Linked DNA regions of Schizosaccharomyces pombe. The main gene of each other region encodes a partner of the protein of the gene in region 2 in a complex. Each region holds a gene or a part of one and is shown on either strand. Other genes may lie near its edges.

Region 1 (4,442 bases), on a different chromosome or scaffold from region 2:
TACAGGTGAGCAAAACACACCATTCACTCCTCCTCTTTTAAAAACGGTAAACCTCGACGGTAATAAAGACTTTACCTTCCCCTCGAACTCTCAAAATAGCCCTTCTAAAAGTTCGAACCTCTCAATTAATATTGATATTCCACCTTCTCCTCTGCAAAATACTGTCATATCTCCCCAGCCGACTCGACGATCACGAACTCCCATACGCAGCTTGTCTGGGCGTTCTTCCGTTGCTTCTTCGAGGAATTCATCCCGTACTAGATCCTATTCAAACGTCTCTTCTGCATCTTCAAATTCTTTAATTTCTATTATTTCATCTAAACCTTCCAGTTCGACCGTTCAAAGGCAAACACCTTTTCATTCTCCTTTTGAACGATTGCACAAAAGTTTCCATTTTCCTTCCGGAGAGCCATTTAACACTCGTATAAATGCTACTGCAATTTTTACAGTTGGTTCTGGTAGAAAAAACCCGCAATCATCTTCCTCTCTGATGTTTAATCAAAGCTCAGTCAAAGAGGAAGAGGAGCCGGAAGAAACCAGTTTTTCAGACTCTTCAAAACATTTCACAGACTTGCTCTGAAGCTTAAGTTTATTACACGATTACTAAGCTACGTGGTGTGTATAATTTGAATTATTAACTTATTTTGCTTTAATAAAGTGTTCTCTTAAATAATTTAATCAAACTTTTAATCTCTAGTAGTAATGACCTTGTTCCTTAACTTATCCCGCTTGTACCACACTAAATCATAATCTGTCAATTTTTTTTATGCTACATCTTTTTTCATTCGCTTTTTCCAAAGGATGAGGATTGATTGATTTGAAGTTGTTTGTCAGTACCTCCCGTAACAATACCAATGGATTTATTCCAATCAACAGCGAAAAGTTTATCCCACTGAGAGCCTGTTTTTTCTGCTCTAGAAATTGTGTAAATACTGCCGGATGTAGCACGGACATCCCAAACACGACAAGTGTTATCGTGAGAGACGGATGCAAACATATAGGGATTTTCTGGGCTTGCCGATAATCCGGAAACTAAATTCTTGTGGCCGGATAAAGTATGACTCACAATTTTGTCGCTTCCCGCTCGAGGGTCGTGAACAACAATGTGTCGCGCAGAGGAACCACAAATGACTAAGTGTAGGTCAGTAAGTTTTTCCACGCATAAAAGAGGAGCTTTGGTTATCTTGGAATCAACATTTTGCCCAGTAATGAGATCCCAAGTCTTAATTGTGTGATCTTGGCCTACGGAATATGCAACACTTGGATCATCAGAAAAGACGATATCCATCACCGGTCCAGTATGCCCCTCACAAAGGATCAGCGGAGAGCGAGCCCCAGCTTGAGGTGTGAATTCTGCATTTTTGCGACGTCTCTTTTTAGATATAGACGAGGAAAAGGACTCGAGGGTAGTCTCAGGAGACCTTTCAAAATCCCAAATTCCGACAGTATTATCCGCAGAAGCAGAAATAAAAACGCTTGAAGATTCTAAGGATCGTACGCGCTCAACTATATCCTTGTGCCCTACGAAAAGAGTTTGAAGGATACCGGAGCTTTTCTTTTCAGCATCCAACATTGATTCTGGCTCTTCGATCACCCAATGAAAAATTTTTTGATCAAGTGAAGCAGTGAGAAAACTTTGATTAGGTATATGCCAGGATGCACTTTTTAAAGATGATCCACATCCAGTTGATTGAAATTTTATTTCACCACTTTTATCCCAAACACGAGCTATCCCATCGTATGAAGAAGTAAGAATGGTATCTGAGGTTAGTTGAATACCAGAAATCCAATCGTCATGAGAGAAAGAAGCTAAATATGCAGGTGGTAATGTAGATTGGATATATTCAATATCAAGAATCGACTCCGTAGACAATCCGTTTTGAACTATGTACTCATCGAGAGTAGTTTTTAACAGCTGACCCTGAACCAAAAAATCAAAGGGTGTTGGCTTTTCTAGTAAAGTTAGTAAGGAAATAAATTAAATTAACTAAAAAATCGCAAAATTGTATAGCAATGAAGCAAAACGAGGATGAAAGGTAAAAGAGACAAAAAAATAAAAAAAGGGCTTTTAGTAATGCATCTTCAAGAATTTTACAAAATTTTAAGAAAGGCGTGAAAAAGAACACTAGAGTAACTCTTAGATTCGAGAAGCCCCCATTTGATTCTCGCCAACAAATTTCAGCTTCTACACAGTTTTATAGTAATTGGGCCTTGCATGAGACCAGCTATTCTATTGCTTCAAATTTTCTTCAAGTTGGTTGAATTATGCGACTTTTCTCCTGCTTTGACCCAGTATGTGTTAACTGAAAACATACCTGTTTTTAGAAGATGATTTACAATTTGAGATAAGCCGTACCGCTTTAAAGATGTAGGAACAAAAATCGGCGTGTCACCAACAGCTAAATCCTCATTTCTAGTAGTAAAACGGACTTGAACTTGGCCTGAAGGAGCGCTTTGGGCATCCATTCTGTTGTTGGTGGAAGGAGTGTCGAAAAGATCAAAATTTCCAGTACCAAAAAAATGAGGATAATGACTTTTGGCTGAATTGATCAAGATGTTACGAGACTGTTTTTTAAGAATTTTCAAGTTTAATCAACCCAATTCGTATTCATCGATAGCGGTCCTAATTCAGCTTTTTTTTTTGAGTAGAAAAGTAACAGTTGAACAAAATCTAAGAATAACAAAAATAATATTAGAAGATTTAAAGTATGCTTTAAAAGTAAAAGGATAAACTTTTTTAAAGCTTATTTTTTTCCAGAGTATGCTCGAATTGTAAGATTTAACGTCTTTTGAAATACTTCTTTTAAAACGACTTAAATGATGATTTGACCGGTATTATTTACAGCTCATTATAACATTGTAATTTTTTGGAATGCTTTCACGTTATTTGAAAGAAGATTTCAATTATGCCTTTGAAAGCATCTATAGCGCTTTTAACACATAGCCGGTTTACCAACTGCATATATTCCCTTCTTGAGCCCACCACTTTTCAAGAAATTCCAAGAACCAGTACTTTTCTTTTTTAAAACTTAATAAAGATCTATCAATTTATCCTTTTTCACCAATTTGAGTGCAATACTCGAGAAATTTTGGAGAGTTTCTCAATTAGCGAGAAGACTTTGTTTAGATCGTTGATTTATCGTGTGTTTATATTTTTATAAAAGAAGAGGAGACTCAATTGATTCTATCCTCGAAAAAGGTTTTATTTTGGGAAAGAATTCATCGGTTCTAGGATTTGGTGGGATTTTAGGACTCAGGCTGCTACATATTTTTATGTATATTACTTTGCGCTGTTCGCAATTTTAATTATTTCTTACAATTGATTACTTCTTATAATTTATTCTCATTCTTTTTTGTCCTCTCACATATTGATCGTCGATAAAAAAAAAATTTTATTGAAGATTAACAGGACATCATGGGTTTGGCTGGTGTAAAAAAGAAACAACAGATTGGTGTGGATCCTCGGAATTCTAAATGGGCAAAAGATACAAATAGATTGGGATTTAAGCTTTTATCCTCCTACGGTTGGGTGAATGGTAATGGCTTGGGTGAAAAGCAACATGGTCGCATTCATAACATCAAGGTCAGCCTAAAAGATGATACACTGGGAATTGGAGCCAAAGCAACTAACGATCTTGAATGGAGCGGTTTAGGTGAATTCAACGCTATTTTTGGTCGACTTAACGGCGATGAGTCTGCGTATGGTGTCTATGCTGAGAAAGCAAAGGTGCAGCAACTAACATACGAGAGACAGAGTGCGAATGAGAAGGGTTTAAAATCACTTGAGCTATCCAGACGATTTGTTTTGGGTGGGACGTTTACTAGTGAATTTTCTGAATGGATGCAAAAAGCAGAGGAGGATGAGGATCGTGTATGTGAAGATGCGTCTTCATCCGATGAAGCTAAGCGTGAAAAAAGAAAGAAGCACTCTTCTAAGAAGAAAAGTAAGAAAAAGACCTCTACTGGTTCGGCTCTTGATCCTAAAAAGTTGGAAAAAATAACGAAGAAGAAGAAAAAAGAGCACAAGAAAAAGGATAAGGAAAGTTCTTCAAAAAAGAGAAAATCAGGCTCAAGCGACAAAGAAGAGAAAAAGAAAAAGAAAATAAAATTAAAGGATAAACCAGAGTCCACTTCCTCTGTCGAGAAGGTCAAAGAAGGCAACCGACCCGCTAGCATTCATTTCCATACCAGAAGAAAATTTTTGGCACAAAAGCGAGCAGCAGTAAGCGACCCAGTTGCTTTAAGGGAGATTTTAGGTATTAAAGGTTAGGAAGTGACTTCTTTTGCTATTTTTCTAACTTGCGGAATATAATAAACGAGTCTTAGAAGTTATGGGTATACAATACTTTAAGAGGAAGGGTTTGTCGGTTTTTTAATCTATGTCTTAATAGAAGGTAATATTTAGTTGATTTTGGAAGAAATTGCTGGATTCGGGCTTGTAA
Region 2 (4,910 bases):
AGGCATTCGTTGAATTGCGTCGATTGGGAACGCTTGATATTCTCCATGGTTTAGCTATTCTATCTCTTGTTGGTAAGCACATGAGAAACACTACCGGTTACGCTGGTCGTATGTTTTGCAAACTTGCTGAAGCCCAAATCAACATTGAGATGATTAGTCAAGGTGCTAGTGAAATCAACATTTCATGCGTTATTGACGAGAAAATGGCTGTAAAGGCTCTTAACGTTATTCATAAAGAATTGCTTGAACCCTTAGCTTTACATGAAGTTCCGTCACAGGCCTCGATGTTGGTTGAAAAGCCTTGGCTTTACAGTGCTTAAACGTACTGTAACCTTGAAAGTCAATTTAAAAAATAAAAAAAAAGTGTTGTCTTGCCTTCATTTTTTTGTTCTTTTTGTCTTTAAATATTTTACATTCTCTATTTTAAAATTACCGTGAGTTTTATTTTACTCATTATTATTATTTGTACGTTTATAAATAAATATTGACTACATAAAATTAATATTTTATAATATATCTCAAAAATTGATATTCATCTTCTTTATCTCCCAGTCGAAAAAATGTTAAGCAAAAGTGTATTTATTATATAAAAACGATCAGCTTCAATTAAATTGAACACGAACCTAATCCATGGATACAGTAAAATACAATGAACTCATTTTAAGAAACAAAAAGTAAATGACCCAAAATAATCTATTACTATGATTACTGTTTATTAAACCTAGTTTTCAACCTTTAATTTTTTCCTCTTTTCAATATCCCTCTTCCGATTGCGAAGCGCATTGTTGTAGTTTTCGTTTTTGCTATTTTCGTTTTTCAACTTACTGTAAAGCTTTCTCTGTTTATTACTCATCATCATTTTGGATAACTCCTTTGCCTCTTTTTCTTCTTTTTCTTCTGCAGTCAAAGTATCACGTTGACGCTTCTTAGTCTTTTTCGCGGACTTAGAATTCTGTTTAACATATTCAGAATAAGCGACACCGCCTGCTTCTGCCTCCAGCTCTCGTTGATGTTCTAAGTCTTCCTCTTCAGCGTCATCAATTTGTTCAACATTTTCAGGCTCGTCATTCTTCTTACTTATGGGCACTGCTTCGCCAGAAATATTATCATCAAGAGCTTCGGAAACATCGTCGTTCTCTTCAGCAGAAAGTTCAGCTTCAGGATCGTAGTCATTTTCACCTACTTTAACAAATGGACTAAGATGAGGAGGGAGCGTAGCGCCACAGGCATACAAGTCTGTCCTTTCCAAGATTCCTTTGTTGATAGAGTCGTATACCCATTGTGGTTGAATATATATCCTACCTTCGTACTTCTGTGAAATATGAGGACGATCACATATATGATGAGTAATCACAGGATCAGATTCTGAAAATGGAGAACCTGATCCGAGAATTGGATCCCATCCAACTTTACCACCAAAGGCACGAATCACAAATTCCAGAGAAAAACGGGGGACTTCACGAGAAAGGAAAAAAGTAAAATTAGAAAACAACGAGGTATTAGATGATGAAATATGTGATACTAGGCTTTTGGAATCCTCATTATCTGCACCATCAGCTGGTTTAAACTCATCTAAGTTTTCCTCCGTTTCAGGTTCCTCATCAGCATCCTCAGTAGTTTTTTCCGACTGCTCAACGACGTTCGCATCACTATTCACAATATCTCTTATTTTACTTTTTAAAGTAGCAATATTCTTACGAGCATTTTTGTTATTACCATGGACGATAGCGGGTAAGGAAGAAGACTCCTCTAACTCATAAGCTGCTAAACCAGCGGCAGATTCGCTTTTAGCAACATCAATCTTAGGGGGATAACGAAGTCCCAAGGTATTATATAACTTGAAATTTACAAACCCCATAAGTGCTTGATAAAATTCCAAAAAAGTGTGCATGATACGAAAATCAACATCGGTAGGAACAGATTGAGCAAATTTGTAGGGAACAATCCAGGTGATTTGCTCACCAAAAATCTCGGCCTGATAATAAATTCCTTTAATAGAGAGGAAAGCTTTACGAAGGGAATTTGACCGAATTACATAGTGTTGAAATTCAGCACATAATCTTTCACAATTAGCGACAGTAGCGGCACCAATCTTGTCGGTAACAGGCATAGTTGAAAATAAGAACAGCATACTAAGAGCATCATCAATATCTTTCAAGGCATCATGGAAGGTTGGGTAACGCTCTTTAATGATATGATCCAAAGAATAAGTGGGTTTTCTGGCCTCTAAACGTTTAGCAGTTTCTAATTCCCCTTTTCCCAATGCTTTGCTAAGCTTGCGAGCGAACACTTTGTACTCGCGAAACTTCTGTACAATAGGCTCATGTAACAAATACTGGATATCCTTAGTATAATCTATTATATTTATTAGTACATAATTTCATTCTTTTAGTTCATCAAAAAAAGACTAGCCCATGATAAAATTGACCATTCGGAAAATGCTTTTTATACCAAACGTCCATGTTCAGATAGCTATGATTCCGGTAAAAATTGATGCTATTAGACTTACAGAAAGTGACTGGAGCAGTGGAGCCTTTATTTGCTTTTTTCTTATTTTTTGGCTCACGAGGATAAACACCCTTTAAAATACAAATACGACGAAAATCAGCAAGAGTGAGCTGAAGCTTCTTAAGCGCTTGATTTCTCGTAATGTAGATACGAGCTGCACCTGCTTTCCCTGTTTTCAATTAGAAAATTTTTTTACAAGCTACATACCTTTCTGTTTTACCCTCGCCATTTCTTCAATTTGATGGCTTTTTGCAGAAAGAGGGTGTTGGAAGAATTTTGCAAAATCCAAAATCCTTCATACAGACTAGCTTAGCTCTCTGCACTGCGTAAATGGTGTTAGATGGTAGTATTATCTCACAGCGCTAAATTTTCTTATACTATTTTACGTTAAATTTCGCTATATTTGTGTTTTTCCGTACTTTTGAGATAAATCTTTGCGGCAAGGGACTAATTGATTTTTGATAAGTTTGTAAAGGTCTTGTAATTTAAAATAACTATCAAAACTTCTACAATTACTCCAAGTGAATCAATGTTCGACGATTTAGTTGTTAGCTACTCAAGTAAGTTATAATCTTAAGCAATACAGTAGTGATATATTAAAGTATTTATGTTTATTACATTTTACGGTAAATAAACAAATCTTCAGGTACGCAGCTAGGCATCTGTTTTAACGACAGGTAGAGTTGCGATGAGTCTTCCTTGTGATTTATTAAATTATATAGTACGCATATGATATATATAGCAATTTGTAATAGATATTCTTATATTCAGGTTACGTCGTTTTCTGTCACTAAAATATTATTATATGAGCCTCGCTCCTCAGTTCAGTTGTAGCTTCCATTTATCATTTTTATAATAATTTATATCAACGGTTTTTGTGTTAAATAGATAGACGGGTATACGCAGTTATTAATAATCTGATTTCACTTCAACTTATGGCATACAAAGTTACTCAACGTTGAATAACATAGCATAGTGTATCAGCGCTGAGATTTATGAGACCGTATGTATATGTTTGTGTAAAGGGAAAATTCACCCAATTTATCGTATTGCTAAAGCACTTTATAGTAAGAGTGTGATAAGTTTCTTTTCGATCATCTTACTTTTATAGAGCTATTATTTTACTACAAATAAATAAGTTCGTTCACTTTGCATAATATCAACTATACGCAGTTAGTTTGCCCGGATCAAGAAATTCATGTTTAGCTGGTCTTCGTTATAAACATACTAAAGAATAGAAAGATTTTACTAATATCAGTTTTTGTTAACACTATTGAACCATTATGAGTAATGTCGAGGGTAAAGTAATTACTATACAACAAATAATGGCATTTTTTGTGAATTTAGGTACTGCCTATAATAATATAAATACTAAAGCTCGTGAAAATATTTGAATATTGTAATCTAATTTGTTCTTTTTTTTTACGAATTTTAGTCCGGAAAATTTTACTAATATACTAATTACTGTCATTGTCTGGTCTCCTGTTTCCTACAACTAGCAGTTTTAATTTTACAATCAGTCATCAAAAAAGGATTTGAAATGAAGCAACTTAATGGACATTAAAGAACGTTCCATTTAGAATTTCAACATCTTTTTATCAGCATCAAAGTTAAATCAAGTTTTGCTAGCTAATTAACATGTAATTTTATTAATAAGTCAAAATTATGCAGAAAGCCAAGAAAACTAAATTTATTATATACGCAATATGATAGCACAACAACGCTATTACAGAATTCTTTTGCTATTGGACTTATGATGAAAAAAAAAAAAAAAACGAGCGTAAAGGGAGTTAATCAAAAACAAGAAATTTACACTAGGGCCGCCAAGCCAGCCAAAGCACTGTTTCTTTTGGCTTTCCTCTTTTTCTTTGTATTTAGTACAGTACTTGCTCTTTTCTCAACGGGAATAGGATTGGATCTATCTTCCTTCTCCGAATTGTCGCTTTCATCTGAAGAACTCCCTGACTCTTCACTTTCAGAAGATTCATCAGAACGCCCTTCTTCTTTTGATTCCTGCATACTGACCGCGGTCTTCTTCGTAAGAGAAGGTTCTCTAATTTCAGGAGAAAACGTTTTAGACAATTCTGAAAGACGTGAGTAAGACAATGTCCTATGAGTCTCCGGTCTTTCCGTAGAAGGCTTAGCTTTAGGTTCCTTCGGGGATCCTTTGGTTCCTCTATTCTGTATCTCGTGAGATACAGAATTTCGTTGTTGTGATTTCTTCTGTAGTTGACTTAAAGGAACAGAGGAGTCCGAGTCTGAATCCGAATCTGAATCATTTTCAGAACCAATCTCATCAGAAGGTTCATTTCCCGCTGCAGATATCGTCGATGTAGTAACAAGGGTCTGGGAAGGAGGGGGAAATTTGCTTTTACCATTCTCACTTTCTTTATCATGCTTAG

The links.
Region 1: ppp1 (region 2) and ytm1 share a complex: the UniProt entries of both Schizosaccharomyces pombe proteins name them as parts of the NOP7 complex.

The regions. Positions count from the first base shown.
Region 1 is NC_003424.3:5,006,392-5,010,833, forward strand, and holds ytm1 (ribosome biogenesis protein Ytm1), read right to left. Parts: upstream 2,488-4,442; 5' UTR 2,467-2,487; coding exon 2,316-2,466; exon of another isoform or gene 2,208-2,315; intron 2,035-2,207; exon of another isoform or gene 1,954-2,034; coding exon 782-1,953; 3' UTR 625-781; downstream 1-624. Other genes in the region: serine/threonine protein kinase Ppk16, read left to right, coding at 1-580; pxr1 (PINX1 family ribosome biogenesis protein), read left to right, coding at 3,416-4,270. UniProt on the Schizosaccharomyces pombe protein: Component of the NOP7 complex, which is required for maturation of the 25S and 5.8S ribosomal RNAs and formation of the 60S ribosome.
Region 2 is NC_003423.3:3,710,883-3,715,792, forward strand, and holds ppp1 (pescadillo-family ribosome biogenesis protein), read right to left. Parts: upstream 2,776-4,910; 5' UTR 2,738-2,775; coding exon 2,716-2,737; intron 2,704-2,715; exon of another isoform or gene 2,678-2,703; coding exon 2,510-2,677; exon of another isoform or gene 2,356-2,509; coding exon 722-2,355; 3' UTR 537-721; downstream 1-536. Other genes in the region: hom3 (aspartate kinase), read left to right, coding at 1-320; nucleolar protein Dnt1, read right to left, coding at 4,318-4,910. UniProt on the Schizosaccharomyces pombe protein: Component of the NOP7 complex, which is required for maturation of the 25S and 5.8S ribosomal RNAs and formation of the 60S ribosome.